Linked DNA regions of Lepisosteus oculatus. The protein of the gene in region 1 purifies or fractionates together with the protein of each later gene. This does not show direct contact. Links are inferred from orthologs where the notes say so. Each region holds a gene or a part of one and is shown in the gene's direction. Other genes may lie near its edges. The genes, in order: histone H2A.Z, chd4b, wdr5 and mrgbp.

What was found.
Region 2: the proteins of histone H2A.Z (region 1) and chd4b purify together in Homo sapiens (affinity purification with mass spectrometry; 3 studies listed by BioGRID and IntAct, with this or other methods). This does not show direct contact. The link is inferred for Lepisosteus oculatus from reciprocal best matches to the Homo sapiens genes H2AZ1 and CHD4.
Region 3: the proteins of histone H2A.Z (region 1) and wdr5 purify together in Homo sapiens (affinity purification with mass spectrometry; 3 studies listed by BioGRID and IntAct, with this or other methods). This does not show direct contact. The link is inferred for Lepisosteus oculatus from reciprocal best matches to the Homo sapiens genes H2AZ1 and WDR5.
Region 4: the proteins of histone H2A.Z (region 1) and mrgbp purify together in Homo sapiens (affinity purification with mass spectrometry; 4 studies listed by BioGRID and IntAct, with this or other methods). This does not show direct contact. The link is inferred for Lepisosteus oculatus from reciprocal best matches to the Homo sapiens genes H2AZ1 and MRGBP.

The regions. Positions count from the first base shown.
Region 1 is NC_090696.1:32,276,659-32,284,509, reverse strand, and holds the start of histone H2A.Z, read left to right. Parts: upstream 1-4,832; 5' UTR 4,833-4,938; coding exon 4,939-4,941; intron 4,942-5,194; coding exon 5,195-5,272; intron 5,273-5,557; coding exon 5,558-5,671; intron 5,672-5,912; coding exon 5,913-6,042; intron 6,043-6,910; coding exon 6,911-6,972; 3' UTR 6,973-7,851. UniProt on the Homo sapiens protein: Variant histone H2A which replaces conventional H2A in a subset of nucleosomes. Nucleosomes wrap and compact DNA into chromatin, limiting DNA accessibility to the cellular machineries which require DNA as a template.
Region 2 is NC_090718.1:3,158,140-3,165,760, reverse strand, and holds the start of chd4b (chromodomain-helicase-DNA-binding protein 4), read left to right. Parts: upstream 1-4,608; 5' UTR 4,609-5,850; coding exon 5,851-5,914; intron 5,915-7,621. UniProt on the Homo sapiens protein: ATP-dependent chromatin-remodeling factor that binds and distorts nucleosomal DNA. Acts as a component of the histone deacetylase NuRD complex which participates in the remodeling of chromatin.
Region 3 is NC_090719.1:7,051,082-7,059,056, reverse strand, and holds the start of wdr5 (WD repeat-containing protein 5), read left to right. Parts: upstream 1-4,969; 5' UTR 4,970-5,164; exon of another isoform or gene 5,165-5,168; intron 5,169-6,567; 5' UTR 6,568-6,628; coding exon 6,629-6,709; intron 6,710-7,975.
Region 4 is NC_090711.1:7,361,845-7,369,308, reverse strand, and holds the start of mrgbp (MRG/MORF4L-binding protein), read left to right. Parts: upstream 1-4,454; 5' UTR 4,455-4,500; coding exon 4,501-4,636; intron 4,637-6,016; coding exon 6,017-6,138; intron 6,139-6,659; coding exon 6,660-6,741; intron 6,742-7,012; coding exon 7,013-7,087; intron 7,088-7,227; coding exon of another isoform or gene 7,228-7,264; intron 7,265-7,464.

The DNA.
Region 1 (7,851 bases):
TGGGGCCGCACATTGGTGGTGGTGGATGGGAGTCCCCATTACCTGCAAAGAGCTTTGAGTGGAGTGTCCAGAAAAGCGCTATATAAGTGTAAGCAATTTTATTATTATTATTATTATTATTATTATTATTATTATTATTATTATTACAGTGTTAATCCCACAATTCAGTGCAGAGAAAGCCAAGCCTGAGGTCAAATCAATTCCTACTCTTTGCAAGAACAACATGGCTATCATTTGGTAAAAAAACAAACAATAATTTTTGCATTAAAATTGCCCCTAAAATAATCCTAAAGTAAATTTTATCTTAATAAACACAACGCTTTTTTAGCTGACATGCACTGAAGACTGTACACTTGTCTGAACAGTTTTATGTACTGTATATGCATAACCAGATTTTTTATGGAACATAACATGTTTTGAAATAGTAACTTTGACATGTCTCTAATTTTAAAGGATATAATTTTAAAAGTAAGGTATTGCCACACTGAACAAAAGAAGAAAAAAATATATTTTTGCTACAAAACCCTTGTTATGTGTCAATTTTAAGAAGTTCATTTGCTTAATTTTTTTGAATTTTTATGTTTTTATTTTTTGTGGATTGAGCTTTTTTTCAGGTGTCAATCTATTTTTCTTTGTTTTCCTTGTGTATGGAGCAGGGGGTCTTTAGATTTTGAAATTCAAATTGTGCCCATAGTATGCATAATCCACAATAAAATGCCTTAAATATACCTTTTAAAAAAATGTCATTAAAGAAACATGAATAATCCTAATTACATATACTGTCATAATATTTATATTACTTTAAATATTTATTATACATAATGTATACATATAAATAATAGCATTTATGTGCTTTATTTATTTTTTTCATCAGTCCCTTGTGACTCAGGAAATTTATAATGACATGAGTATATAAGAAAATTTAGTACCACAGCACATTATTAATGAAAAACAGTACTATGGGCCTATATATATTGCCCCCCCCCCCAGAAATGGAATTCCCTTTACATTTCCCTCCTAAGTTCTTCAGTTTCAGTTAAAGTTCTACAGTAAGAGTGAAAATCACAGTTTGTACAATCAAGGTCATAATCAAATTGTTGACTGTACTGTAGCTATAGATAGACAAGTGCAACAAGTAACCTTATACAGCTCTTGTTACAACTTGCAACATGTTCAAATATGCAATACGGTACAATGCAAGGTATAGTTCAAAGTGTGGTTATATATGTCGAATTAGCAAAGGATTACCACTTATACTACACATTAACTTCTTACAGTTTAGGTGCAATTGCAAAATCTTATCCTGCCTCAAGTATGTCTGCTTTATGAGACCAGGTGGAAGGCCTATGCATTATGTTAGGAAGAATGGAGCACAATGATAGAGGAAGCTGGTCTGTTTCCTTATCTAAGAGCACAGAGCCCCACTTCTTGAAGATTATGGACTAAGATTAATTAAATAAATAATTATGTCAAGGAATGAATGCCAGAAGATCTGGAAAAGGCACAGTTCTGGGCCACATTCCTCCTCAGACAATGTTGGCTTTATGGAAAACAGGAAAAGTGGGAGGTGGAGAAACCACAAAATGCTGGCACAAGTGAATAAATACGTGTATCATCAGTCTAAAAAAGAAAGTGAATATAAATAAATAACTCCTAATGCACATTTTACATTGCAAGGTGCAATACATTGCATGTACTGCAATTGTATCCAATTGAAAAAATAGAAAACTTACAAAGCTTTATTAAATCTATTAATTTACATTTAAATCTAATAATTAGACTTAGATCATTTCAGGATATGCTGCAGCTAAATCAGTTAATATCTAATATAATATTTTATTTTGAAATAATTATTTTATTATATTATTATTATTGTTGTTGTTCCCATGTGGCAATTCTATGCAGGTTTCTAAGGTGAACTAAATTCACAAAACCAGTTTTAAACACAGGAAAATTAATTGGATCCTCCATGCTGATTATTAGAAAGCATGCATGTGATGCAGTTGTGTTTCTAAAACATATGGGTTCAAGCCTAATAATAGTATACTATCCCCTTAAATGGTGATACATTATATCTTTTCCTCTTTTGCAACCTTTCTGCTCAGAGGTTAAACTGATTATCCTGCAGCACACACATGTACTGTAACTGGTATCACAAAAAAATAACAAAAACTCTCTTGTACATTCCTACTCCTTAAAGTTATATTTGATTCTAAAGTTAATGCTGAATTTGTCATGAACATTTTTGTTTTTTATTACATCTATATATAATTGCAAACCTCTTCTACATATTTTCCTACGGATCATCACAATGGAAACACTTGCAACAGATCAGGGCATGTCATCTGATTCACCTACTGTAACTCATTTGGCTGCTAGTAGCTACTTGAGGATTTCATCAGGCCATTTCTTGAAGGAAGTCAGGGTTTCAGCTTGGTGGTAGATGGGCTCCCACGACACTAAGGAACAGTACTGTCCATAGAATAACTTTGATTAGAATATTTTATACAAATTTGATTTTCTTTTAATAAAAACTACTGGATGGTCTCAAACAGGTTTTCTTGGGTGGTTAGCTGTTGTCACTGAGCAAGATAAAATGGAGAATACAGTAGGTGCTCAAGGCATCTTTTTTTTTCAACAACACCATTGTCCACCTCCTGTCTCTCCCAGGATGAGGAGTCGTTATCACGTCAATGGTCTTATTTGCATACTAACTTTCAGTCAGTGGCTATTGTCTTCATAACCACACATTAGCACATGGTAAGATGCCCGTGGTAAGGACGTCTATTAATCAAATAATGATGATAATTTGTAAAATAAAGATTCATTAAAACTGGAAATATGTGCAGATGTGTTTAAATAGGCCAAAGTCCAAGCAAAACTAAAAAATAATTCAGAAGAACAAGTAAAGGTTTATTCAATGCTGAAAAGAGAAGAGGAGAAACACAACTGTGGAGCTTTCTGTACAGATTTCATTGTTATGATATCATTCCTAAATGATTTTGTCTGAAATTTAACACTTTTTCCTTTGACTCTGTCACCACCCAAGCAACACTCCTAGTCTTCTACAAAAATTTCGAGGTCACCTGAAGAAGGCTCCACATTGTGTTTCTTTTCCTCTCTTTTCAACATGGAATAAACCTTGACTCCCTTTGCAGCCTATGCATGCTGACGCAGCTACCTACTTGAACTAAATAAAATCATTCTCTGAGGATGTAACTTATGATATCAATGACTTAAATAGAGATCCAAACAAACTGGAAGGAATTTTTAGTCATGGCTGTTGCAGCAATATTACTAATAATGAATATGAAATGACATGAAAAAAGCAAATCTCTGTGTTGGGACATGGGGCCTTCCCACACATTCCTCAATACTCAAAATGAGTTTTATTGTCTTTTTTTCACTTTCTTTATAAGGAAATTACATATAGTATTGTCAAAGATAATTCTTTGTTTTAGTTTCCAAGAATGTCAAGCTCTTGGCATATAATATATGCTCGATAGTTCATGAGGTCTAAGGTCATAACTTGAAACATGAATTTCTCATTTGATTCATAATAATGTTACACTTGTAATATTTCAGACTATCAGACTACATGGGGGATAATGTTCTTTATAATGATACAAATATGTGGATTTTGAATATACAAATGTATTTCTTTTATAAGGACCTTCCTATATCCTGTCCATGGATACAAACCAATGACATCTGAAAATGACAGCATTTTCCTTCTAATCAAGCACCTTTTCACCACCAATTTTATTATTCATATCCATTAAGACACTTAATCCATCTTACATCAGTATAAATGTTATAATAAAGGTTAGATTATTCTAAATTAAGTATCTTAACAAGTGTTTCCTGTTCTCCTGTTCAATATGCATACAGAAGGCAATTCAAAAGGTAGATCTAAGAACAGACATTATCCAGTCAAGTGCACCTTTTTTGCTAAATAATATTAAACACTGTGGAGCTTAATAACAAAATATACAAACTACCAAGTAATAACATTGGATGTGTAAAAATAGCTCAGTTTTGTGTAATTTATTGAATATACTGTATACCAGACAATGTGATTTGAGTCACGTCAGTTTACATCTGCATTTTCTAGCTCAGAATTCCCCTAAACCAAGCACAGTTCAAATATTAAATGTAGTTTAATTTAAATTACCTTACAGTAACGTGTATTTATTATTCGATACAGATATCACACGTGTTGCTTTCTTATTTTATAGATATTTTGCAATTACACACCTCTGCAACTAGGAAAACATTTAATAACTTTACATTACTGTCAAGTCCTGAGCGTGGCAACGCTTGTTAACAGCATTCCAATTGAAACTGCCCTGACCCTGCTGAAATCACTACTAAACCTATTCTTTACCAGCGAAAAAATAAAATATTTTAGAGTACATGTAGCTAATAATATAACATGTATTTGTACTGCTGCCATATTTAGCAACGTACTTCTTAGGTTTTGATACTGGGCTCCTGGGCTCCTTGAAAGTATGCAGCAGCAATATAACATAGACAAGTGGATTAAAATTTATGAAAATACTGTACATTTACAATGTCAATTTGCATAGTTAGAAACAAGGACCAAAAATAAACTTAAACATTAAAACGTTAACTTGAAATACAAATACACCGGAGAAGAACTACATTTCCCACAATTCCGCTAAAAAGAATAGGCGCGTAATAACCGTATTCTGCCCTTTTGAACAAAAAGACATTGGTGATTGGTTGGACTGACGAGGCACCCTCTAATTATCTAGAAATGTAATTGGCTCGTAATGGAGTTCCAGGTCCCGGATGTTGTACTTTAGCTTGCATATAACAGAGAGAAGGCGGGATATGAGTTTAAATCAGGCAGAGAGAGGAGAGTGGTGGTAGCAGCGCGCATAATTTGTCATTGTAGTTACTGACTGGAATAAAATGGTAAGCGGTTTTCGTAACTGTGTTAGAAGACCTCGATCTTGCACCGTGTATTCCCAATGTAGGTAAATTGGGGTGGAATTACTGAAGACAAGTTGCATCGTGGCGCACCAGGACGCAGTTGGCGTCTGTTTTGCACATACGCTTGTCTCTTGGCTCGTGGCGATTGAAGTTAATCTGATTAGCCTTCGTTTTTGTTTTGTCCTTGCATTTCCTATCTTTGAGCAGTACTGATCTGCTACAATGTGCTTTTCAGGCTGGAGGGAAAGCAGGGAAGGACTCCGGAAAGACCAAGACAAAGGCTGTTTCGCGCTCGCAGAGAGCCGGGCTGCAGGTCTGTATCGCGTCTCTTCCTCTGCAGTGGGGGAAGCCGGCAAAGCTTGTGGATATGTGGTGTTGAACTAGTGAAAAGCGTGTGTGTGTGGTGTGTGTGGGGAGGGATCCGATTCATGTGGATCGCGATGTTGCGGAAGTGAGGGGTACAAGTTTCTCAAAGACACGCTGTAGTTCATATTTTGTTGTGTAACCATATCAAAACTGTACCTTAAGTGGGGGGCAAATATCTTCCTAATCGGGAGAGACTAACGCCTTTTCTGCTTGTTTTCCTTCTCATTGGTAGTTTCCAGTGGGTCGTATTCACCGGCATCTGAAATCCAGGACCACGAGCCACGGGCGTGTGGGGGCCACCGCAGCGGTGTACAGCGCGGCCATTCTGGAGTACCTGACCGCCGAGGTGTGTTGGCTGCTTACGGGCAAAACCTCTGTAGGGCAGGAGCTACAGTGAAGGTGTATTAATTGCTTTATGTCGAATCCACGCTGCTTCCTACTCCCCTTCTCTATCCGTTCAGAAGTGCCAGGCTCCTTGACATGTGCGGGGACTGCATTGCTGGTGGTCCCCCTCCCCATGGCTGCAGCAGAGGCGGGAAGGCAGCGGGGACACTGGCGATAAAGACACCCTTTCTGTCCCCCCCCAGGTTCTGGAGCTGGCAGGAAATGCGTCTAAAGACCTGAAAGTAAAGCGCATCACTCCGCGTCACTTGCAGCTGGCGATTCGAGGGGACGAGGAGTTGGACTCGCTCATTAAGGCGACCATCGCGGGTGGTGGTAAGGAGTACTTTTGTACTGTGCTAGCCCTCCTCTTCATTTGTGCAGATGTGCCACGTTTGGTAGACGGGAGCACTTAAACGGTTCATAAACAATAAGCAAGGCAGAACTCTCTGCTTTTTTAAAAAAAAAAATATTTCTGTAGTATAACATCGCCTGTGTGAAATTGAAACCATAATTGATTTGGGGGGGTTCTAAACTAATTTTAATCTGGTTACTTGGCTTTTCTTTGCTTATGTCCTATACGTGACCTGAGATCTGCCAATACCACAAGTGAAATACTTGGAGTGGAGAGACTGCTTTTTGTTTTTATGCTTCTAAATGATGGAACTCCCTACAACGTTTTATTAGGCAGTCAAGCTTGGTACATTGTTTTAAAAAGCGTTTGAAAATATATTTTTAATTTAGCTTTTAGTTAAAATGGTTCTTTGTTCTTTCTATTTCTTTTATTCTCATTTTATTATGACTTTCCTCATTTCTATTTTTCCTTTTCAAGCATAAGTTGACATTTGTTGCTTTACTGATTATAGTTTTCCTTTACAACTGAAAGTAGGTTTCTTCATTTTAAGATTTTTTTTTATGCTTGGTTTGGAAAGCACTTTTGCTGCTATTTGAATGAAAGGTGCTCTATAAATAGTTTTTTTTTAATGTCCTTTGACATTCTCAAATACCAGGGGATGTTCCCTATTTATAACATGTTTGCTCTTCAAAACATCTGTGTTTTGGAGAGGAGAAATGGGAAGACTTCTGTCCACCTTGATTTTGAGGTCTTTAGAAAATGACACCAGTTTTCACTGATGCACAAGCCCTTTAATCTGACCTGGAAAAGTGCAGGCCTTAACACTCTGAAATTGAATTTTGTCCACAGGTGTTATCCCTCACATCCACAAGTCGCTGATTGGGAAGAAGGGACAGCAGAAAACTGTATAATTCAAGCTGACGCTGGCCAAGCTATCTCAGGACTAATGGTTTAAAGGGTTGTTCTTAAAGAGCATGAGACTTGTTCCGCTTTGTATTAGACTTTTTAAATTGTTTTGAGCTTTGCATATTCTCATTTCTGAGGTATTTTAAATACATTGGCTTCAAAGAAGCCTGATTTATTTTAATACTAGGTTGAGGTACTGCAGCAGTATTGTTTCCTATTTAATGTGTGATCCAGGAACTGATTTGTTCTGTTAAATTTAAAATCCGCTTTATATGATTGAAGTTTTGTCCTGGAATAAAGTTAAAGTATTGACTGCTTTGTTTCCAATGCTATAAAGCGTTATGATTTTGGTGAATTTGGAAATGCATGTTTTGAAGTACAGTATATTAAGTAGTTTGAAGTACTTGGCAGCACATGTTTAAGATATTGTATCTCCAAATATCCACCTGCATAAGAATTATCAGTTGATCAGTTTTGTGTGTAACCACACTAGTTCCTGTTTCTAGCTGAGAAACCTACCTAAAATGTTTTTTTTTCCTATGGTTTTGACTTGCACAGTCCACCATGGGAGATCAGATTATCTGAGCAGCTGTACAGGAGTCTTGAAATATTAAATACACTGGTATTTGAATAATGGTAGGCTGTATGTATTGACTAAATTGACACCAGTTTCTCAATGGGGTGTTTACAAAGAAAGCTTACTATAAAAATCCTGTGAAATATTTGGACTATCTTGTCCTAATGTTTGGTTAAATGGTCTGTGGTAATATTGACTTAAGTATGCATCAACTCCTTACAAAGAAATGCATAAAAAGCTCAGGTCACTTTTAAAGTTAATGTTCTGCAATTGTTTAAATTCTGTTTTCACCTGTTAAATGTCTGAC
Region 2 (7,621 bases), on another chromosome or scaffold:
AGACAGAGAGGGAGAGAAATTCCTGCAGAACCACAACTGGGTACATTCCGGGAATTGAAGGAGTGTCCTACACTGACAGGCAAGAAGATCCGAATCTTTCTGTGCTTCGAACGGAGGTGAGCTGATTCAAACAGTATCAAAAAAGTGCTCAAAGGCACTGCCAAAGTGAAACCAGAGGAATCAACAGCGAAAAACACCAACCGGAGGGGCACACAAAGTGGAAACACAGGGGCATTGCATTACAAAAAAGGTGCAGAGGACTGGACTTTACACAAAGGGTTGTGGGGGTGTGGAACAAACATGGGGCTGAAGCCAATAAGAGCATGAGCTCTTGGATCAGATAAGGCTATTACCAGATGGGACAGATGGGCACACTTACCACTCACTGTCAAGCTTCCTTACATTCTGAGCAAAGAGAGACGGACAGAATCTCAAAGGTTCAGACAGAAAGCGATGAATGGAGAGACAATGTGGGAACAGAGGCAGATATAGACAAGAAGATAGACAGAATGGGACAGACAGACACACCGACTGATGTACAGTACCATCCTGGACCATTAACAGTCTCACAGACAACTCAATAGATTGACATGAATGTAGAATCTCAGAAAGACAGGTGAGAGGAAGTAACTATCACTGTTCGAAGAGGAGAGACAGAGAAACTTTATACACCTCTACAGTAAAAATACATGTAGTGTAAGAATTGCTGCATCATTTTCATACTTAGCATAATTGTGTGACGCACACACCCCCACGTTCCTCTTTTGACTCCATCAGTCACTTAGCAGCGCTCCAACTATTATGGGATGCGTTTGGGTCCTGGCTTATTATGGGATGGCCTTTGTCTGGTCACACCCAGCAGAGCGGGCTTATTATGGGATGCGGTGTGCACGCGCGAGAGTGTGTGTGTGTGTGCGTGCGCGCGCGCGTGAGTGTGTGTGAGCCGCAGCAGTAGCAGTAGTGGGAGACCGGCGTTCCAGTGTGCAGTGCTGATGTCACCCTCCAGCAGAGGAAAGCACAGCCCTCCCCTGTACAGAAACGGCTCAGATCCCTGACCTGCCCGGTTCTGCATAGTTTTTACCCTGTCAGCCAACAGCATAGCCTGCTGTGATTTCTCTCATTGTTTTATTATATTGAACAAACTTTTTAACCCTGCATGATGATTATTTACTTTAAACCCATTGTATAGCCCCGCGTATATTATTATTATTATTAATGTATTATTATTTCAAACATTTTTTAATTCGGTCAGATATATTAGATATTTGTAGAACCCTCCCTAACAGTTCTTATTCTTATTCTTATTCAACAGCCTCTGAACTGCTTTATCCAGAATTACAGGGAGCTGGAGCCTCAATGAGCAAGTCATGGGCAAAAAGAAGGATACGCCATTAATGGGACACCAATTCTGTGTTTTATTATTATTATTATAATAATACACTGGAAGAAGGCCCCACAGACGAAACATTGTGTTTCCTTTCTTCTCTTTTCAGCCTGGAGTAAACCTGTTACCTGTTCCTTTGCAGTCTACGCATGGTGACGCAGCTCCCTACTTGTACTTATTATTATTATTATTATTATTATTATTATTATTATTATTATTATGATATTAAAACCAACAGTGCAGCCCTGTAGGATGGGGGTGAGTTTTCTTTGAGCTCAGGTGGCGGAGCAGCGGGAAGACAGGACAGCCTGACAGACGGGCCGCCTGCTCAGACTCCGCCGCAGAGGCAGCGGGACAGCGGGACAGCGGCACCAAGCGCAGGACCCGGCAGGGGAGAGCTCGGGCCCGCAAGCTCTTGAGGTTCTTTCGAAAGCTGTGAAAATGTCCCATTTTCCACTCCCTCGGGGGTGGGGAGGGTAGAAGGTGCTTTTGAAATTCCAACGGCTCCGGGTGATCACCGTTCCCTTGCCCCACTGGACGCCGGCCACATTCCCAGTCTGCGGACCTGCAGCCGGGGGCCCTGAGAGTCTCTGGATGAAAGGTGCCCCCCCTGGACCGGATTACCGGGAGATTTCCTGGATGGGGATCGGGGTCCAGGAGAGCCGGCGTCCGCTCAGATGTGGACTGGTCAGAGCTCTTTAGCGTGTGACGTCAATGTGGACAGCTTCTGCAGCCACCAGCGCAGCTCTGCACATTCTGCCCTGTCTCCCAGAGAGGCTGCTGACTTTCTGCCTGTCTGCGCCAGTGGCCGTCGGACCGCAGAGAGCAGTGCGCTTTGGGGAAAACGGTGTCTGTTTGCTTAGCCGTACAGACACAGACCCACACTGTATACACACACACAGACGCTCTCTCTGGAACTGTGTTGGTGTGGGTGGTGTGTGAGCAGACCGGTTATTATGGGATGTGTGGGGGGGGGGGGGAGAGGGAGGGCAGGGCCGGACTATTATGGGCTGTGCGCGGAGCTGGAGGGAGGGGGGAGGGGGAGCTGGGAAATTATGGGATGTGTGCGGGCAGCCTCTGTGTCCCACAGGCTGCTGGCCGAGGAGGGTTGGCGGGGGGGGGGTGGAGGGGGAGGTGGGGGAGGTTGAGAGGGAGAATTTGAAGGGCGGGAAGAGAGGCCCCCCAGGGTCATTAGAGGAACGCATCCTGAGAAAGAGTTCGCACTGCTTCGGGCCTCTCTCTGCTCGTCTGCGGCCGCGCGCAGTGCGAGCGCCGCTCCAGCTGCTCGCTGTTGTCAGGTGCAGCACCTCCCCCGAATCCAGAACATTCTGATTGCAGGTTTCACGGAAGGCACCCCAGAACCCCGTCGATCCTGGTGATGGGGGATCGGGCGTACCACACGTGTTCACGGAGCACCTAGACTCACAGAACATTCCTGGGACATTCCTGGACGAGGCACGTGCACGCCGGGTCGAATGGGGCCAGGGATTGAAAGAAATAAAAAGAAAGTATTGTACAGCACAAAAAAAAACACTCCGCAGTCGGGAGTGTCACTCGGCTGGGGAAGGAGTGAGCGACGGTCAGGGCATCGCCCATTCTGGGAGCGTGTCAGTGCGTTGGCCCACTGCAGGCCAGCTTCCACATCCCACGGCTCTGCGAGACACCACCACCGTAGTGGACAATAAAGTATCTTCTCCTGCACAGGTCTCGGGTCCCGGGATGGCAGGTTTACCCACTGGCCAACCGTGGTCTAATGTGATCTTACGGGTTTCGCATTGCTGAAAATGCTGTATTCCACCACTGTCTATCACACTTTTTCGAGCTGTAAGCAAAGGCGATTGTGAAATAACTTTATTGCTACATTATGCATTCCCAGTGCTGTGCTGTACTGTACTCACTGCGTAACAGTACTGTTCTGCTCTGTTACAGTATGCAGAGTGTACAGTATCAAACAATAATAGCTTTGCCTAATGCTGTGCCTGAATTTAATTTGTGTTTTGAGCTATTTTTGGCAGAGAATTTGCATGTAATTGTCTGAAACAATGTCTGCGTGCGACTGTCTGTTTCTGGTTTTCTGCCTGTGTGTTCCTCAGCCTGTCCGCCTCTGTTTCTATGTGTTCATGCATGTCCTGTGGGTGTTTCACTCGGCCTGTTTATATCAGTACACCAGGTGCGTATAAGCCCCTCTGTGAAGGTTAGAGCAGGGAAGGTGGAATTAACCTCTTCTTGTGCCTGTCTCTCTGTCTGCCTGTCTGTGTTTCTTGATGTCAGTCTGTGGCTTTGCATCTGTTGGTCCATCTGTCTGCTGTAGTCTCCTTAGCCACTATCCTCCCTGTATCCCCTGGCGATGCTCTCTCAGGATTTTCAGCTGTCAGGGTGAATATTATGGGCTGTCCAGTGAGGTGGGAGGTTGTCAGGTGCTAATTATGGTCTGTCAGTCAGCTTCCATGGCAACCGGGTAGCACATCAGTCATCCTAACATGTCCCCCTCAAGTACACACACACTTTAGCACCCATGCCTATGGTTTATTATTATGGGGTGTAGTTGGGTCTGGATGTTACTATTAGTATTATGGGATATCTAAAGGGGGGAAGGTAATGAGGGGGGGGGGTTGCTTCCATGACAACCAACCCTCCCCCTCACTTTTCTCTCTCCTGATTGGTCATTATGGGATGACACCCCCCCTGTAAAAAAATCTCTATAGCAACAAAGAGAGAGAGGAATGGAGTCTAGTCTGTGTTGTTGTTATTATTACACAGTACTGCCATATGAAATTAAGCAGCCCGGGCACAAAGAGTAGGTAATGCCACATGCCCACAAGCACAGAAAGGGAGCAGACTCAAACACAGCAGCACTGCAGAGTGGTAGATTTTAGGCCTTGTGTCTCTTGTGAGGCCTAACTCAGGCTTGTACTGTTTATGTCATGGGGACACTGGATGTTTTGACTGTGCCTGTGTTTGGAGGTGGAGATTATCTGAACATGTGAGACCTCTGTTTTGCGATGAGCAGGTATGGGGACATGAGCACAGCTCTACAGCACACTGACAGTGCTCTGTACACACCGACTGACACCCTGTCAGGCTGTCGCTGGGACCTCACAATGTCAGGGGTCTCTATGGAAACCAGCAGACTGTAAGGCTGTGCAAACTCCGTGTGTGTGCGCACAGTCTGCATGAGAGCAGCGTGCACACGTGTGTGCCGTCTGAATCGGCCTGTGTAGCTGGTGTGTGCCGAGCATGTACAGTGCGTGTGCACACATTGTACAGTAGGAGAGTATTATGGCCTGTCATTTGTGGCCTGGGTTGCCTGGGCGACCAGGCGACTGATAATTTTTTGGAGATATGCATATTATGGGATGGGTGATCCGCGAAGTGGAGCCCGGGTATTATGGGATGGCCGTCGGCACGGAAGGGGGGGGGCGCGACCGTCTCCACGGCAACGGCGGTTGCTAGGGGCCGGAAGAGCCCAGGGGGTGTCTTGCGTGCGTGTGTATATACATGGGATGGAGTATTATGGTCTGTCCGTTGCTGGGGTAACTGCGTGTGGAGTGTTAGTGTGTATTATAGAGTGGGGGGGGGGGGGTGTACAGGATTATTATTATGGGATGCCTGCCTCTCTCTCGCTTTTCGGTTTGCCCCGGTCTCTTTGTGTGTGTGAGAGGGAGAGGGCGAGTGTGTGCGGATGACTGTGCGGCCGGACTGGACCAGACATTTTGTCGTGCCCGAAATACCCACGGAAATCAGTCGCCTCTTCGAAGAAGCTGTCTTCGCTCCTGAGCCGGCAAGGAAATCGTTGTTGAACTCCCCTCGTGTAATCGCTCTTTTTGTTTGGGGTTACTCGTAACCTGGCACAACTCGGGATTATACAACCCTCCTGAGTCGGACATTTCTACTCCGACACGTCGGTTGTCTTCTTTGTATAAAGGGGGGGACATTCAAGAGGAGACCGCTGAACGCCAACTTTGACCCTTTTATCCGGAATACTTATTATTTTGTATGCAACTCCCAGCTCACTTTACTTCGCTGCCGGCCACTTTCCAGAAGCCGGTATAGTACTAGTATTGCAGTTTAGACATCTAACTGAAAACATCGACAGTTTTTCTTTTCCGGAGAGTTTATATCCTTTTAACGTTGAGTTTGGCGGCGCCCCCCCCCCCTGGTTTCAGTAGTGTGTGTGTGAGGAGCATCGATTCTAGTTTGGGATACAAACTCGGTCCTTCTCGCTGGTATTGCCGGTAGCGGAGAAATTTCTACGAAGACCGGGTTTATGCACTGTGTGACTCTTTTTCTCGTAAAATAACAAAGAAGGGCTTTTTCATCATCGGCTCGTCGGCTCCCTCCAACCCCCTCCAACCATTACCACCCCCTCCCTCGATAATTCCCTCCCCGGTACCGACACACACACACATACACACACACACAAACTCACTTTCAGATATATTTATAGGAAAACCATTTAGCACAAAATGTCCGGGAGTGAAGACGAGGGACAGGATTTCGGAAGCTTGGACGACCGCTCGCTTTTGCAAGGTAACTGAAATATTTTGGCTGTACTCGCATGTCTAACCTAACGCAGCACACGTGAAATGGAGCTGTCTTTACAGAGTATTTAAAGATAGTGCACTAGACTAGTCTTTTTTAGACTCGATCGTCTATTTTGGGAGTTATGTTACCGCTTCAAACATTTTAACCGAGGACAGGAGCGTCTCGTTCTTTAATTTCCTTTTTGGGGGGGTTGGTGAGTGGGTGACGGGGGCCTGCGTGTCTGCGTTTGTCATCGGTATTTGTTTTTTTAGGTCTGCGTTTTAATACGTTCTTTTATCGTGGGATGTGCGTTTTACTGTCTTTTTTTTTAAAAAAAAGAGAGAAAACTGGATCGCAAAAGTTTGTACATTGAGTGATGGAACAAAATGCCACCCGGATGCATTAAAACATCTCGTTCAGATTTTCCTGGGCTAGTTATTTTATAGTCTCGCTCGTGTTTGTGTGTTTATATATGTGTGCGTGTGTTTGCAGTGATAATTTGTACTTGTTTGTTGTTACGGCTGAAGAATTGCACTGTAAATAGGAAATGCCGGTTTGCAATTGAACCGGCATTTTTTAGACTAGGGGCCTACTGTGTCTTCACGTGTGGGAGTCGGTTAACAGGGAACAGAGTTTTTTTTAATGAATTTCCTGATTTTTGCAAAAATGTAATCGGCCTGAAAATACCGAATTGCCCAAAACTGATGTAAGAACTTTATCGTTTTATTTTGTAATCCCCCTTTATGTAGTCAGCAGTGTGTGTGAGCACACCGGAAGAAGGATACATGGAAAATTTGCTCTTAAACCACCTTATCCGATTTTGTGGATTTTAAGTATCCTTTCTGCGTAAGTCAAGGATTAAAAAAAAAAGTCTTTGAAATAAAATGTTAATATCTGGGAAGCGTTACGTAATTGTCAAGAGTTCCTGTTTCGCTCGCTGTGGATCTCGTCTTAAAGTGAAACAACTAAGAACAAAATCTTGCATATCATGAGCGAATAGGGTGTGAGGATTGAGAAAATACGTTTAGAGTAACTATTCTAACATACTCGAACAGTTTTTGTAGCACTAGTTGGGCAGTTGGGTCTTCTCTCCGTATTTATTACGTGAAAGCCGGTGTGCCAGCAAGCAGGCTGGGGACCGCGGCCTGCTTATTTCCTGTCGCCGACAGAAGCCTGACTCCTACGGAAGTCTGTTTTTAAAAAAAAAATCATAAAGGGAAATTTCTTTTTACTGGGTAGTACCTTGAGAACTTAAATTTAACTTGTTTTGAGGGTACGCATTACAGAAAGAGAAAATATAGGTCATGTTTTATTAAGTTTATTTTTATATGTTCGCACGGTAACTTAGTTTTTATTTTAGGTTTAGATTTAGGTCTAATCGGATTTATCAGACGTGAAATAAAGTAGCAGGTTTAGTTATTGGTAGAGCTGTAACAGAGGTCGGCTCAGTTCATGATACATTCTTTAAAAAAGTACATTTAAAATCAGTCTAGTATTCTGACTATGGATTTGTATGCCTATGATACTTGTAGTCCCCTCTTAATAAAAGTCCACTTTTGTCTGGAGTTGATTTCTGATCTAAAGCTAGCTCACTTATTCTGGCTTTTTTCACTTGAAATTGCTTAATATACAATACACTTAATACACCTATTGTGATGTACTTTGACTTGAAGTTATCTCCTCCAACCCCCCCTCCCCCAGTACATGTACTGT
Region 3 (7,975 bases), on another chromosome or scaffold:
TATTTTAATTTATTACTTTTCCCCTCAGCAGCTCCAACAGCGTTTTGCTTGCAGTCGTCCTACCAGGTCTTCTTTTATTTCAGCAAAGCAGCATAATAGATGAGGTCCTACGAGTCTCCTGCTCATGCGCCGCAAAACAAAGGCATCACGGGAGTCGTCGTTCACCGCTCCAGCTTTCACTCTGAAATCGGGATGTTTTGAAAATCAAGGACTACAGCTTCCAACATGCAGTTGGCTGGTTAGCGGTGGTGTTTCTTGGCCCACTCAACAAAGCTTAGCGTCGTACTCTAGTTTGAGAAGAAGGAAAGATAGATTTTTTATTCTGCTTGAATAGTTTTTTTACGCAGATTACGCTGTATTGTAATCGGATGGTGTTATTGATTTTCGAGTCAAACGATCTGGTTGCTTCCTTCAAAGACATCGAGTTTATTTTGAAACTCGTGCTGAGCACCCTTACTCTCCTTCAGTCATTACCAAAACTAGTTTTGTGTAATTGCGAAGTTCGTATTCTCTGAGCTGTCAGTACTACAGGAAAGATCACTTCTGGACTCTAACAGTGGAATCGATAAAGTATTTAATATTGCAGTCATGGGATGCTGGATGTATATTTTTAATCGTGGAAAATGTTGTAATTGTTATGTTAATTTACCTTTTAACGTTAATCTTTTCAGGTATAAAACGATTTTTAAAGCATGGAGGAGAACGAGAAAAACGTGTTTGTGTGAGAACATAGTTTTCAGTTTATCAAAGTATTGACAGAATCTGTAGGATTTTTAAATGAACAATGAGTTTTCACCTCCTATACAAAAACATTGATGCAGAATGGCTTGTTAAGTGTTACAGTAATATGTTAACATTTTTGATATACCATGTGTTCAGCAAACAAAAAATATATATTACTCTAAGTGAAACTGTTGGTTAACAGCTTTAGTCCAAATGGGAAGCCTGACAGAAAAACTGGCTTAATAGACATTGGCTTCCAAATAGCAGATGGTAGACTGCTTGCAGTGTGACCACCTGTTCTTCATCTTGCTTGATGTGATTCTCGGTTCTTCATTTCTCCTTTTAAGTGGGTAATTTAAAAATAATTACCAATTGGCTTCTTGGACCAGTTGGGCTTGAAGAGGCATGAGACATCTTTTTACAGCCAATAAATCTACATGGTACCATACTTAGAATGCTCACAAAATTGGAGTCTGGTGTTCATATTTGCATTCCATGATGCATTAAACTTATTAACTCCAGTACTTTTGTACCCGTATAAGTAGTTTGTGTATTGAAAAAAAACGATATTCCAATGTTCCAATATTCCCTTGTTTAATTTTGCAATGCCTCTCAGTATATAGTGGTTCTATGTGCAGTGTTTACTGTCAGGGGACAAAATTAAAATATTTTTCTGTGTTCTTGCTCGTATTACTGAAAATTCACAGTTAAAATTATTTTTTATCATAAGAATATAAGAAAGGTTACAAACATGAAGGGTGGCTTGGTGGTGCCGTGTCTAGCATTGCTGCTTTGCAGTGCTTCATTCAGTGTTGCTCCAGATCGACAGAGCACCAATGTATGTTTTCCGCATGTTTACTCTGGGTAGGTTCCCACTGGGTGCTCTGGTTTTTTCCCACTATTCCAAAACATGCTAGGTTAACTGGCTTCTGATAAAGTTGGCCCTGCTGTCTGGACTGGCAACCAGTCTATGGTGTACTTTGCCTTGCACGTTGGTTGTTTGAGATCGGCTTTCCCCGACCCTGAATTGGATGAAGGGGTTAGAAAATGGATGGGTGGCTACAAACAAGAGGTCTGTCTAGCCCATTTGGTAAAGAGTAAATAATTGAACAAGAGACCTTATTCAGATTTTGCTTGAGAAAGAGCAAAGGTTCTGGCTTCAAAAACCTTTTGTTTTGGACACTCTGCAATATGGGCCTGTCCCATCGGCCAATCTGCATGTATTCAGCAATACTTCATACTTCATCTTCTATAATAATATTTGATTCCCTTCTTGGTTTTTGCATTGCCTTGAAGATAATGAACAGATTCGATTGAAGTATTCAGAATGGTCCAAGTTACTGACTTCCTCAGGGAAACATAAATAGGAGGAGGAGACAGGATGGTATACATAGAACTGAGAACTATGTATATCAAACAAAACAGGACTGATTGTGCCTTTCTTCAAAAATCTGCAGGACAAGGTCCTCATATCAATCACCAACCAACAAACAAACATTCAAGATGACTTTGTCTCCATTCAAATATTTCTTGTGTTCTGTGTTTTTTCCAATGTAGTCTGTTCTCAAACAGTGGCGGTTTATGATTTCAGCACTTTCCAGCTCATAAAGTTTCAATTGGTCATCAGCAGTCTACCACAAAATATAGTGGTCTGTACAGGTACTGTCAATAATGAGTCATGCAGGGTCCTTCAATGTATATAAAGGGAGAGGAGGTAAGATAATAGCAAAGCTATTGGATTTTTTTTTACGAGAGGAAAAGAGGCACAAGCAAGAAACATTGTTTCTTATAGCTGTTCTTTATGGTGTAATCTAATCTTGCTAAATAATATTTAGTTTGTCTTGGTCAATGGTTTTGGGTTAAGAAATTTAGATTTAAAATGTGTGCTGCTTTAGGTATTCAGATGACAAAGCGAACGGTCATAACATTGGCCAGTGATGTATACCTAATTTGACAAAGATTTAATACTGTGTCAAGATTATCATAGAGCCAATACTCGAAGAACCACACACCCAAAGGACAAGGATTCCTTCAAAAGGAGTCCAGATTAAGTCATTAATAACTGTATATGGTACATATATTTCAGAACATTTAAACAGTCAACATAAAACTAGTCTAAGTCTTATTTGAAATGTGTAAAACAAATAGAACATCTCTAATAGGTCCTTATAGCTAAACTATATCTGATAAAACTGCCAGAATTTGTTGCATGTAGTGCACTCAGAGGAGCTGTAGGAACTAAGAGCAACATGAGATGGAGAAACTGGTAAGGCCTTCATTCAGAGTCGCTCCAGATCAACAGAGCACCAATGTAGAGAAGTTGTCAGAGAGCAGGTGGTCCCAGACTGTGAAAGATTAAAGAATACTACATTCCTACCCAATACTCCTACCTAACATGACGTTGCCAAATAAAATGATTCCACTTGAGGATCTGGAAACAGGCAGGGAAGTTGAGTCTTTGAAACTCAAGGCTGTAGTTCCTAGAGTTCTGTCATCACAGACATATCAGCCATGACAATTCCAGTCAGCGTCAGGAAAAATACAAGAAAAAGAGAAGGGTTGATTGTTGGAGACTGTGTTCTCATGAACACTGCAAATGAAACCTCACATAAACAGCAGTGTGCTATAACACTAATTTCAAGGCTACCAGATGGGCATCTAGCAAGGACAGGTGAGCACCCAGTGGCTATTACTCATATTGAGACAGATGACATTAGCATAAGTAGCACAATTCTTCTATGGATCAAATTGAAATAGAATTTCTTAACTAGTCATGTCCAATACCATAATCATGTTATGTTTTTGAAACATTTACTCTTTGATGGGCTTTTTGGCAGATCTGTAGGTTTCCTGAATCTCACTGTATAATCTCCCAATAGACAATACTGTATATAGCCCATAGGTAATCACTTTGACAAATATCAATAAAGTTAAGGACAAAACTGTGGGCAGCACAATGGCACAATAGCTAGTTTTGCTGCCTTGTAGCACTGGGGCCTGGGTTAAAATCCTGGGGTGCTAACTATGTGGAGTTTGTATGTTCTCGCTGTGTTTGTGTGGGTTTCCTCTGGGTGTTCTGGTTTGTGTGTGTCTGGCCTGCAAATGGTCTCCTGCAACCCCGTGAAGAAAATAGATGTGTGAAATTCTCATCTTTTTTTCCCATAAACCATGATTTAAATAGATAGAAGAGCAGGTGAGTAACAGGATCAACACACTTTATTTCTTCAAACTAGTAGCCTCATCTAATACATCACGTTAGATTTTAGGAAAGTATCGTTGCAGGTTTGAGCACACAATATTAGAATACACAAAACGTGCCATATCATTCCCCTGACAAACTATACTGGAGTGTGCAGTTTACACTTTTTTGAGCTTCAAATCTATTTTTAATGCATGTTTCTCATGTATAATGTATGTATTCATACAGAAACAGCAGATATAGATTTGGCACAAAAATGTACTCAAGGAGTCACCAAGATGAAATCGTTGACCATTTGTAAAATGTGTTTTAAGATATGAATTGGCAAGTTCACTTTTTCGCATGATAAGGATATATATAAGTAAAGTGCAAACTGTCTCAAATTAAATGGTACTGGAGCTCAGCTCCAGTTCAAATTAAGCGTAGAGGATTATATCTGAATGAAAAGGGTACAGATTGTTTTGATTCATAGTAATTTACATTACAATTGCAAGGGGGAGAATTTAAAGAAGAAAAAAAGATACATGGAAAGTAAAGATAAACAACTTGAGTGTTTGTACCTAAATGCAAGGAGTGTTAGGAGAAAAATAAAGAAAACAGAAGCTAAAACATTAGCAGGTGACAACAATGTTACAGGTACCAGAAAGAAGAATTCTGGTGAAGAATTAAAACACAAGAAGATACAGGATAAATGAAAGAGTTGGGGAGGTAATATTATGGTAATAATATACATCATGAATGTTCAGGCACAGGAATTAATCAAAAGTCTCAAAACAAATGTGGGTCAGACATAATGTTATTCAGAGGGAACAGTGCTAAGAGTTTGTCACATACAACCAAAATAAGCTTTCAATTAATAATATAGTCTTATGTAATGAAATCAGGAATGTGTATAAAAAGAAAGAAGTGCAAGATCCTACAACTTCACACATGGGTTATTTTCCCAGCTTTCTCGTCCTTCACTAAATTTACCTCGGCAAAGTTACTCGCCACTTTTGTCCCTTCCTGTTTGCCGTAAATATAGTACATGTTCATGCGTGCGGACATGCGCACTGTGCGTCTGTCGCCACATTCCCCGCCTGAGCTCTGAAGCCAACAAGCTGCAGCTTCTTCATTGCAACAGAAAGAGAAGAAGGACAATATTCCAGTTATTGTTCAAAAGGGAGGGTTCGCAAGGCGAACCAAGACGTCGATTTGGTGACAAAACGAACGGTGACCGTAAAGACGACCTTTGAGAGGCGAGTAGGTGCGCATTTTTTATTGTTTGAATGGAAGGAGTAGAATATGCATGTGCAAAGAAAGGAAAAAAAATCCTGAATGATTTGGTTTTAACGCAGACTGGGGGGATGGGTTGCAGACGTGGAAATGCAGTGGTCTGAGATTTTTAGACGCGAAGCTAAAATCGCAGTGTAAAAATGTGCTCGAACGGTGTGATCAAGGAAGCATGTCTGGTTTTGAGTGATGCTTTGGCGTTTTCTGTGCCAGGCCGCAGTAACTGATTAAGTAGTTTAACCTATAATCTTAGTTTTTTTAAGACTTCAGTAGTTGCTTGTGAGTAAGAGAAGCCTTATGTGTTTTTGATTAGTGGACTTTTTTATATTAAAAAAAAACAGAACGGAGTACCCGGTTTATAGCCTACGGTAGTCCTGTTGTTGTAGATGGGCAGGTAAATTATGAATTACGACGACTCTTACTGTCGTACTCCAGTACTGCAGCCTGTCGCCTGAATGCCAATTTGAAGTGAACAGATTTAAGGTTAGTTGCTACATTAGGTAACAATTCTGTTCTGAAGGTTCCAATTCGTGCCATTTAAGGTGTTGTTTTAAAGGATTTCACCTACCTTTCTGCTGAAGTCCCTCCTAAGGTAAACTTTAACCGTATATAGATTCCGGTTTGGTGAAATCTTCACCCGTAACGTTTTGATTTGATCACGCTTCATACAGGTGGCATTCACAAAAAAGATGAATGTCAAATAATGTAGTTTAGGTACGTAGATTTATATACTGTATTATTTATGTGAAGACATGTCATTCATGCTCATTTTTATCTCTTCCGCATAACAGCGAAGCTGAAACGTTCCTTAGTGTATTAGCTTCTTATTTATGTTGTGAAATACAACAAGCAGGATCAGTAACCTTAAATTGACCTGCTAGCCTTATTTAGGTCTCAGTACCATAAGCATTACAACCTTGGTTCAGTTTGTTTTTAAACCAACCAGCTTAATGACTGATGGCCATTGATTTCTGTGACTTACAGAAAATAATTAACCATATTTATCATCATCAGTTATCATGTCCAGTTGAAAGGCCTGGCCCCACAAAAGATTTTAAATCTATTTCATAGCATCTTTCTGTATTAGAACTTTGCAGTGTACAAAATGTACAAATGTTACAACAGACCTTTAAAATGGAATACAATTTTATAAAGAACATTCAATGCTTGAATTAAAAATATCTGTATAAGACATATTAATTTTGAAGATTCATGTTTTGGAAACAAAAATGTTTTGAAAATGAAGCTGTTTCAATTACAAGTAATGGGCAAATGAAATAAGAATTATGTGTCTTTTGGTGTGTGTTGTTGGTTTTGGTGTATGTTTTTTTTTTACTAAATGGGCGCAAACAACAAGCTTCTATTATTTTTAGTTGTGATCGTCTGGCTGCTCTGGCACCTATTCCGAAGATCTGATTCACTTGCTCAGTAACCATGGCAACAGAGGAGAAGAAACCAGAAACTGAAGCCACTAAAACACAGTCTGCTTCATCAGCATCTGCTAGTCAGAGCAAGGTAGGAGGGGCCAGAATGCATACTCTTTTTTGGCGGGTGGGAGTTGTCAGTTTCATTTGAATTGATGAGTCTGTTTTGACTGTAAATATGTATTTAACTCTACTTATTTTCCCCTCCATTTTAGATAAGTATAGATTTGTTGTACAGAGGTTAAATGATTCCTTAAAATGACCCCCTTTGTAAGCATTCTAAATGTATTGAGTTGATTTTTTAATTTCCTCAGTGTTGGATCTTGTAGATTAACTGCAATTTGAATTTCAGGTCAGCAGCATGTCCAAATATTGCATTAACTCATTTGAAATATTGTAAACTTATTTTACACAGCAAATGTAAGATTTGATCCTATATATTATTCACACCCTTTGGATTTCAAGTAAATTAGTATCTTTGCTATTAATATACTAAAGTGTAAATGATTTAGGAATGTAGTTAGCTGTTTACATAGCTTGCTGGTGAATAGTCTCTTTGCCATAGACATTTTAATGAGCTAAAGAGTATAAATGTTAATTTTTACTTGCTTACAGGAAAATGTCTATTGTTGTGACACAGTTGTGGTCAGAAATTCCACAAATTATTATTGTATGCTCAATTTCTGTAGAAAGTTTGTTTCAGAGAAGCATATTTTTCATATGATCTAAAATCTATAAGAAATTCTGCAAAAACAGTAACGTTACAAGTTATAATTATTATTTTAGCCTTTTTATTACAGATTAAAATCATATTCTGTATCGTGACAGCAGTAGTCCTTTGATTTGATCCATGTATGTTTAAATTCATTTATATACTGATGTCAGCTGTTGTTCAAGGAAGAAGCTTATTGCCTTGTGTGCAGTTTGATCAGTGTGGCAAAAGTATTTGTTTGGATGCAGTGTTTTATAGCGATTTTTTTAGAAATTTAGAATTGCCAGTTTTGCTATACTTGCAGTTTTGGTTATTCCAAATTGTGTGTTGTTTTACATCTGGGCTCACCCCTACTTACCTTGCCACTGCACAAGGGAGAATGATGAAGTATAAGCTGAGTCCTCTGACCTGTCTGAGTAAAAAAAAAACATTAAAAACGTTTTTTTTGAATATGTCACAGGCACACCGCCCTCTACTCTTTAGGCTCAGTGCCGATTGGAAGAGAGGCACCTTGACCAAAGCTTGACAGCAAGCACCCGAGTGCCTGCAGGGGTCACGGAGAACTGAGAGCCCTGACCGATTTACTCTCTGCTTACACTTAGCAATGCTTAGCCCCTGTTCACAGCCAGCCTATGACGAGACTCA
Region 4 (7,464 bases), on another chromosome or scaffold:
TTAACATCTCATCCGAAAAATGGCACCCACTACAGTATAGTGTCCCCGCCACTATACTGGGGCATTAGGACTCACATAAACCACAGCGTGGGTGCCCCCTGCTGGCCCCACAAACACCTCTTCCAGCATCAACCATAGCTTCCCAGGAGGTCTCCCATCCAGGTACTGACCAGGCTCAACTCTGCTTTGCTTCAGCAAGTAGCCAGTTGAGAGCATCAGGGTGATATGGCTGCTGGCTTTTACAGTGCTATGTCTTCCAAATAAATAAAATCTTAGTCAATTTCACTCCTACTTGTTTAAGTCTCTATTGATGTTTACGACTGGTTAAAGTCAGAACCTGAATGTTTGATCTATGGACACTGGGGTAAGCTTAATGAGCTCCACATGGAAGTTGTCTTTCTTTTGAATATTTTGTTGTCCCCTGTATTGCACTGAAAGAAAGTCATGTTATCCAATATTATGGCATATTATCCAATATAAAATCAATTATCTGTATCACTGTCAAGTAGATATTTCTCATGGGAAATCTAAACATATCCAAGAAGCTGGCAGGAAGTTTTAACAGTCAAGAAAAGAAAACTGAAGTCAATGCACTTTCCTCTGGGAATGAGAAAGTTCAGGGACATTTCAGACTTTTCATTCTGAAAAATAAACCTTCCATGCTCTATGTTACTTGGTAACTCTCCAGTTTGGAAGGATTTCTTCTCTTGGAAAGCAAGCTAGACTAAATATAGACTAACCTTTCTGCACATCTGACAAACACATTAAAAACAGTGAGACAAATTAACACTTCCCCAGCTGTGAAACTGCATCAGATGTTAATCTAAGCATTTAATAGATTTTACCACAGAACCTGTAAGTGTTAAACAGATTTTAAATCACTGACAAATATGTCCTATTGCCAATCTAAAGCAACCTTTTCTACATTTAAAAATGACTTCTTCAGTCTCGGGGGTGAGTCAACATTTCAGTGACATACTTATTATCCAGATACCTTTCTGTGAACGCTGAATAGATTTCCTGGAAGGAACTGAACCAGTGATTGTGTCATAAAATGCCTTAATCAGTTAGTGTGATGAAATACACTCAACGGCCAAAATATTAGGAACCCCGTTTCATAAAATGGTGGAAATTTACAATCACCAACAGCTGTGTGACCAGGATGTGTCATGTGTTGAACAAATCTTTCACAGACTAGAAACACAATCTTTTCAGGGTTCTGTAGGGGGATTATCTTCAGTTTATGGTGTGTGAGATTGAACATGAACTCCTCACTGGTGTCCACCTGTACTCAATCAAAAAGTTGAAATGAGAGACATGAGATTGCCTGGGAAGGTGATGGATGTCTGTCTCATATTAAAGCATTCACACATTGCCTGGATCTCAGGGAGTTTCTTTCCTTATTTTGTCCAGTGAATTCTTAAGAGTAAAGGCTCACAATTGTGTACCACACTTTGACATAATGCATTCTGGCTCAGGTTCCCCTACTTCCAATCTGTAGTCTTCTATTTAACAAGGAATTAAGGCAAGTGAAAATTGTGTTTACAGCAGAATCGTTTCTTGAGTTTGTGAAAGGATGGCTTAGCCCGCATGGCTTAGGGCCATAGGACAGGGAGGCTGCGAGCTCCATGGTTGGAGAAAAAGGCAACCAAGGGGTAGCTGCAACTGTGGGAGTTGGGTGGAGGAATGCAAAACAAGCGAGGAAGAGTGTGGTGCATATGGGAATCTGAGAAATTACATCAGGATAAGTTGTGGGAAGCAGCAGTTGAGCTTTATTTGTCTTGCTGCCTTCAAACCTCCCACACTTTTGTTAGAACTCCATTAAAATTTCACCTCACTGCTGCAATCTGTTTTTGACCAGCAAGGACATACTGTACAGTAGTATCCTTAACTGTCTCATTGACAAAGAATGAAACCTCTCCCCTCTTCTGATAAACTATGGCCATGCTGCATAATCAGAAGAGGAGTTGTTACATATAGCTCCCTCCCAAAAGCCTTTAAGGTACTGAGTCAGAAGTGTTTTTTTTAGAGCATTTTTTTATACTTATAAGTCTAGCTCCGTGAAGTTGGCCCATCTAAGAAACAACATCCGAGAAGAAACACGGGAAAGTCCACCGTCTGACACCTGCGGACCGCGGCAATATTGGAAACATATATATTTATTTTCACGTAACAGAAGTGAACATATATCAGAATTATTGAATGAACTGTCATTATCCATGTGTTTGTATTTACAGGGGTCTTATGCGCAAACACGAAGCGGTGTGTATGTTTGTGTTTCCGGCCAGTCCTCGGTGTAGAATACAGCGTGAGGACACACCTGCCCTCTGAAGACACAGGTGTGGGTGCCTGTGTTAGATCCTCAGGTGAAGTCGAGTCTTCTGCAGTCTGCAATGTAATGACCCAGACATGTTTGCTTGTCCTGCTACATGAAGTTGCCCACCCGCCCGTCGAACAGCACAAACGACGAAACTCACCGCAATCGTTAATGCTGCGGTTTGTGTCGCTGTAAGTAGCGTTTCTGCTGCTTTCGTTTCCGACATATAGCGCCTTGTTTTTCGGGTATTCGAGTGACTACCTACAAGGAAGTTTACAGGTACCAACAAACTCGGTACTTGCCTGATTGTGATTAAGGCAATTTGTGAGGGCAATTTGTTTTCCGAATCTGTCTAGTCGGGTGGGGTGGATGTTTCAATGTATTTGAATATAGCGCCTTCTTTTCCTGGCTGTGATGTACAAAACAGCAAAGTCACGACCACCAGATATTTCAGTTTTGATCAGTTGACCCCAGACTTTGCAGCCTTTACCCGAATAAACAGTCATACATTTAGGAAGGAGTTACTATGTTAGTTCATTGGGTTAGGTGTTTTCTTTTATTTTTTTTACCACGTTCTCGAAAATGTATTTCTTGTGTACTCCTTTCATTGGTGAAGAGACACCAGTTTCCAAATTACCGCTGGTACAACACGAGAGTCCATATTCACATTTTTAGGTATTAGTTTCAAGATCGATATAATTTAACAATAAAAAAACCAAATTGAAAGCACGAGCATAATAATATAATGATCATAGACTTTACATTTCTATTCATTTTTGAAGTACAAAGCAGAAGGTGTTTCCCCTACCTTACGATGAAAATTGTTCAGATACCATGTATTCATTACAGAAAGCAGCGGAGACAGTTATATTGCAAATAAAAAAAATATTTATTTCGACGAGTACGGGACATTGTGAATCAATAAAGACGTTTTTAAAAATAAGCCGATGTAGTTATTTTACAAATAAGTAAAGCATTTAAAAAACAGATTCTCATTGACAGTAAACAAGCAGATCCAGCAGGCGCTACTAGCCTGAACAGCTCTCAGACCCGTGATTGGCTAAAACTCCCGAACAGTCCGGGCAGCGATTGGGTGAAGAGTGAGAATCGACAATCTGATTGGGTAAAGAGCCACAGCGGAAGTTCTGTGTGTACCGTGTGTGGTGTATGAGCACGCTGGATATACAGTAACACATCTATTGGTTTCCAATTACTGATCAATCTAACAGAGTCGCACTGAGGTCAAAACTGAATAGCAGACAACGAATGTCAAGGCATCCACTGCGCGTTCACGACTCCAATAGCATGTCACGATAGGAGCGCAAATCAGGATCACATCGCGATACCCATTGCGACTGCCGCATCACTGTCATGGCACCACTGTCGCAACATTAAGTCCATATATCGCGATACGACAAACCCCAGCAAAAATGCCCCGCCCTATGTTGCGACATGAAGCCCTTATATCGCGATATGACATACCCTGGCAAAAAGGCCCCGCTCCCATATCGCGACATGAAGCCCTAATATCGCGATATGAGATACACTGGCAAAAAGGCCCCGCCCCCATATCGCGACATGAAGCCCTTATATCGCGATATGACATACCCCGGCAAAAAGGCCCCATCCCCATGTCGCGACATGAAGCCCCTATATCGCGATATGACATACCTCGGCCAAAAGGCCCCGCCCCCATATCGCGACATGAAGCCACTGTATCGCGATATGACATACCCGGCAAAAAGGCCCCGCTCCCATATCGCGACATGAAGCCCTTATGTTGCGATATACCCTGACAGAATATGCTGACCCAGAATCTACTATTGAAAATCTCCTTGATTATGTTTTTTTCTTTCTTTCTAGTGTTATTTTGATAATAATAATAATCATCATAATCATAATCATAATAATATGACAATTTATGATAAATATAATATTTATGAATAATTTAGCATAATAATTGTTATTATAGAATTTTGAAAGTAATTTGTTATAAAAATAATCATAATTAACTATAACAATAATATAAACATATAGCGATAAAAACGGATTTTTTTTAAAAAAAGGTCTTAGCATAAAATAGGCCAAACCGAGATTGCAGCTCCTTCTTCATGTTGTTAGAGGGCGCTATTTTACTCTTTTTTGCTGAGCACGACCTTTTCCTGCTAGAAGATTCAGAAAAAATGGGAGAAGCAGAGGCCGTCCCAGCTGATGAAAAACAGGCAGATTCGGGGTCTAGTCCGGTGGAGGAGTCGGTAATATGGAGCCAAGAAGTGGAGGTCTGCCTTTTTCATGCTATGCTGGGCCACAAACCCGTAGGTAAGACTGCAAATGATTATGAACTACGACAAATGATGCCGCCACTTTTAAGGCCTATGAATCCTCGGTGTTGAGTAGTTAGGTCACCGACTGAGGAGCCGTTGCCGCCAGCCACGCTAACTAGGGTACTATTGAGGAAGAAAAGGAAGATATTGGAAACTGAAAATCCTACCTCAAATAGTGAATTTGGCAACTGCTGCTCAAATACAGTACAAGATGGAGAAAACCTATGCCATAGTAAAAACACACATTCAGATATCGTATTTTGTTAGGGTAGATGGGCGTTCTGTTTGTCCTCCTTGGGACCGTTTTTACAACTTGAGAGACCTTGCAAATATCTTAAAATCGACTAATGGTATCGCACAATACATCTACATTGATGTTACTGTTAATCGTTTATACTGTACATAATTTTTAAATGTGATCAATATTAATCTCGTAATTGTTTTTTTATACGACGAGACAATTCGTAGTAAACAACAGAGCCGTCTCCCCCTGGTGTACAAGCCAGGAGACGAAGACTAAAGCTTCTGTATAGCTCTGTTATATATCCAATATCACCTCACTAGAGACCAACTCATATCACATGGCCGTTGAATTGTTTTAGTTATCAGCAGATGTAAGAACATCATGGATAACGCTGCCTGTATAATGGAACTGTTTATATTTATAGTTCGGTACGCCAGGACCTTTAGGATTTATTCATTTGCCAATGTTTGAATGAACTGTGTCGAGCAGCTTAGTTTTTTTCCCATTTAACTTTTTGGTTTGTTGGCATTGAACAGATGTACTGTATATCGTGCTTTGTACAGTTACCCCACGAGGTGAAATAATAGTGTAAAAGAAAGTAATACCGCAATATAAAATTATGTCATCATCAGAAAAAGAATGGAAGATGCTTCATTAAAGACAACCGGAAGCTTCTAGAATTTAGGATATATTTGATCTTTTTTTTTCCATGTTACCAGATGATTATCCATCTGTTATGTTATTCTAAAAAGAGAGTTGTCCATAAGCAGCTTTTCCGCTCAAAACAGCTGCCACTTGTGGAGGTAGGGCGCTTGAGCAGATTTTCATTCACTCATCACCTGCCTCCTCCCAGGGCTGACTGATCAAATTCTGAATCATGAAAAGGTGGGTGCAGCAGACCTACAGGGGCCAACAAGAATATCTAGTCTGTAGCATTGGGTTGCGTCCTCTCTCTTAGGGCAAACCAAGAGATGGTGTGGACTACAAGGTTACTGACCAGGCCTGTATAGTAAAACCTATTAATGTTAAAAAAGGACCAGTCTAGTCCAATGTGGGATTGTGTTTAAGGGTTTTAATTCTTATTTAAACCTTACCATTTTGTTGTGTGTGTATAAATGTATTTTGTCTTAGGAGTTAATCGTCATTTCCACATGATCTGCATTCGGGATAAATTTAGCCAGAATATTGGACGGCAGGTTTCCTCGAAAGTGATTTGGGATCATCTGGGGACAATGTACGACATGCAAGCTCTGGTTAGTATGCAGTGGTTATTGGTAGTTGCATCCTGTTTATTTGTGGCACTACTGAAATTGCCTGTGTAGTCAGTTTGTGGGTGTTTGCTTCTGTGTCTGCTTTGTATGCCCTGTGATGGACTGCTATCTCATCCAGGGTGTATTTCGCCTTGAGCTCATTGTATGTGGGGTTAGGCTCCAGCTCCTCCCGAAACCCTTAAGTAGATAAGCAGATATTATGTTTAATGTGTTGCTAAGATTAGATCATTTTTACTACAATGACTAAGAGCTAATATAAACATAAAAAGGTGTTTTAGGTGCTACTAGCTGGAAATAATGTATGCAGCAATTGTGTCCATGTCTGCAGCAGTGTGAAAGATAGATTCTCAGTTTACTAAAACTAAAAGTTTTCCTCTTGTCCTATTAAGACTGTAGAAATATGTATTATTGTATATATTAAATATTGAAACTTAAAATATTCAAATATATTAATTATTAAATATAATATAAATGTTGTAATTTTTTGTTTCTGTTGTCTGCAGCATGAATCCGAAATCTTGCCTTTCCCAAACTCGGAAAAAAGTTTTGTTCTGCCAGAGGAAATTATTCAAGAAGTCAAAGAAGGTAAGACCGACTCACGCCTCACTACAAAAACATTCCTGACTGATTGTTCACAACAATCCTTGACATTCCTGATTTGTAAATATTGATTGCTTCTTTAGTCATATTTAAATGTTAGTAGACATTTTCAGTTTTTTGTAGTTGATGAGACGTTTGTCTCTAGCACTTTCTGCAGTGTCATACAATCTGAAAAATATTATGCCATGAGTGAAAACATATCATTTCTGTTCATTACTAGAATATGTTCTAAGTTTAGTTCTTTGCTGGCATGCAGGAAAACTGGTGGTCGAAGAAGAAGTCAAGGATGAAATCAAAGAAGAACGAGACCCACCTGCAACCATGGAAGAAGGTTCTCGCTTAATATGTTTATTTGGTTGGCTTGTTTTCATTTTCTAGTTAGATGTTGGCTGTGCTATTGCAGCACTTTGGCACCTTCTGCTGACAGAAACTGGTGTCCCTCATTCTGGTCATTTATCTCTCATTTTTAAGGTCTGAGACCCACTTTGGCTGGCCAGGATTGTGAGAGGTATGGACAGAAGAATGCTTTCACTCTGTTCCAACAATCCAATATGACCTCACTAGAGACCAACTCATATCACATGGCCGTTGAATTGTTTCAGTTACCACAAGGTGTACAAACATCATGGATTTCTCCCTTTGAAACAGGCAAATCCTTATTTATATATTGAGAGGACATTAAAAGCATGTCTTGGGGACGGATGTGCA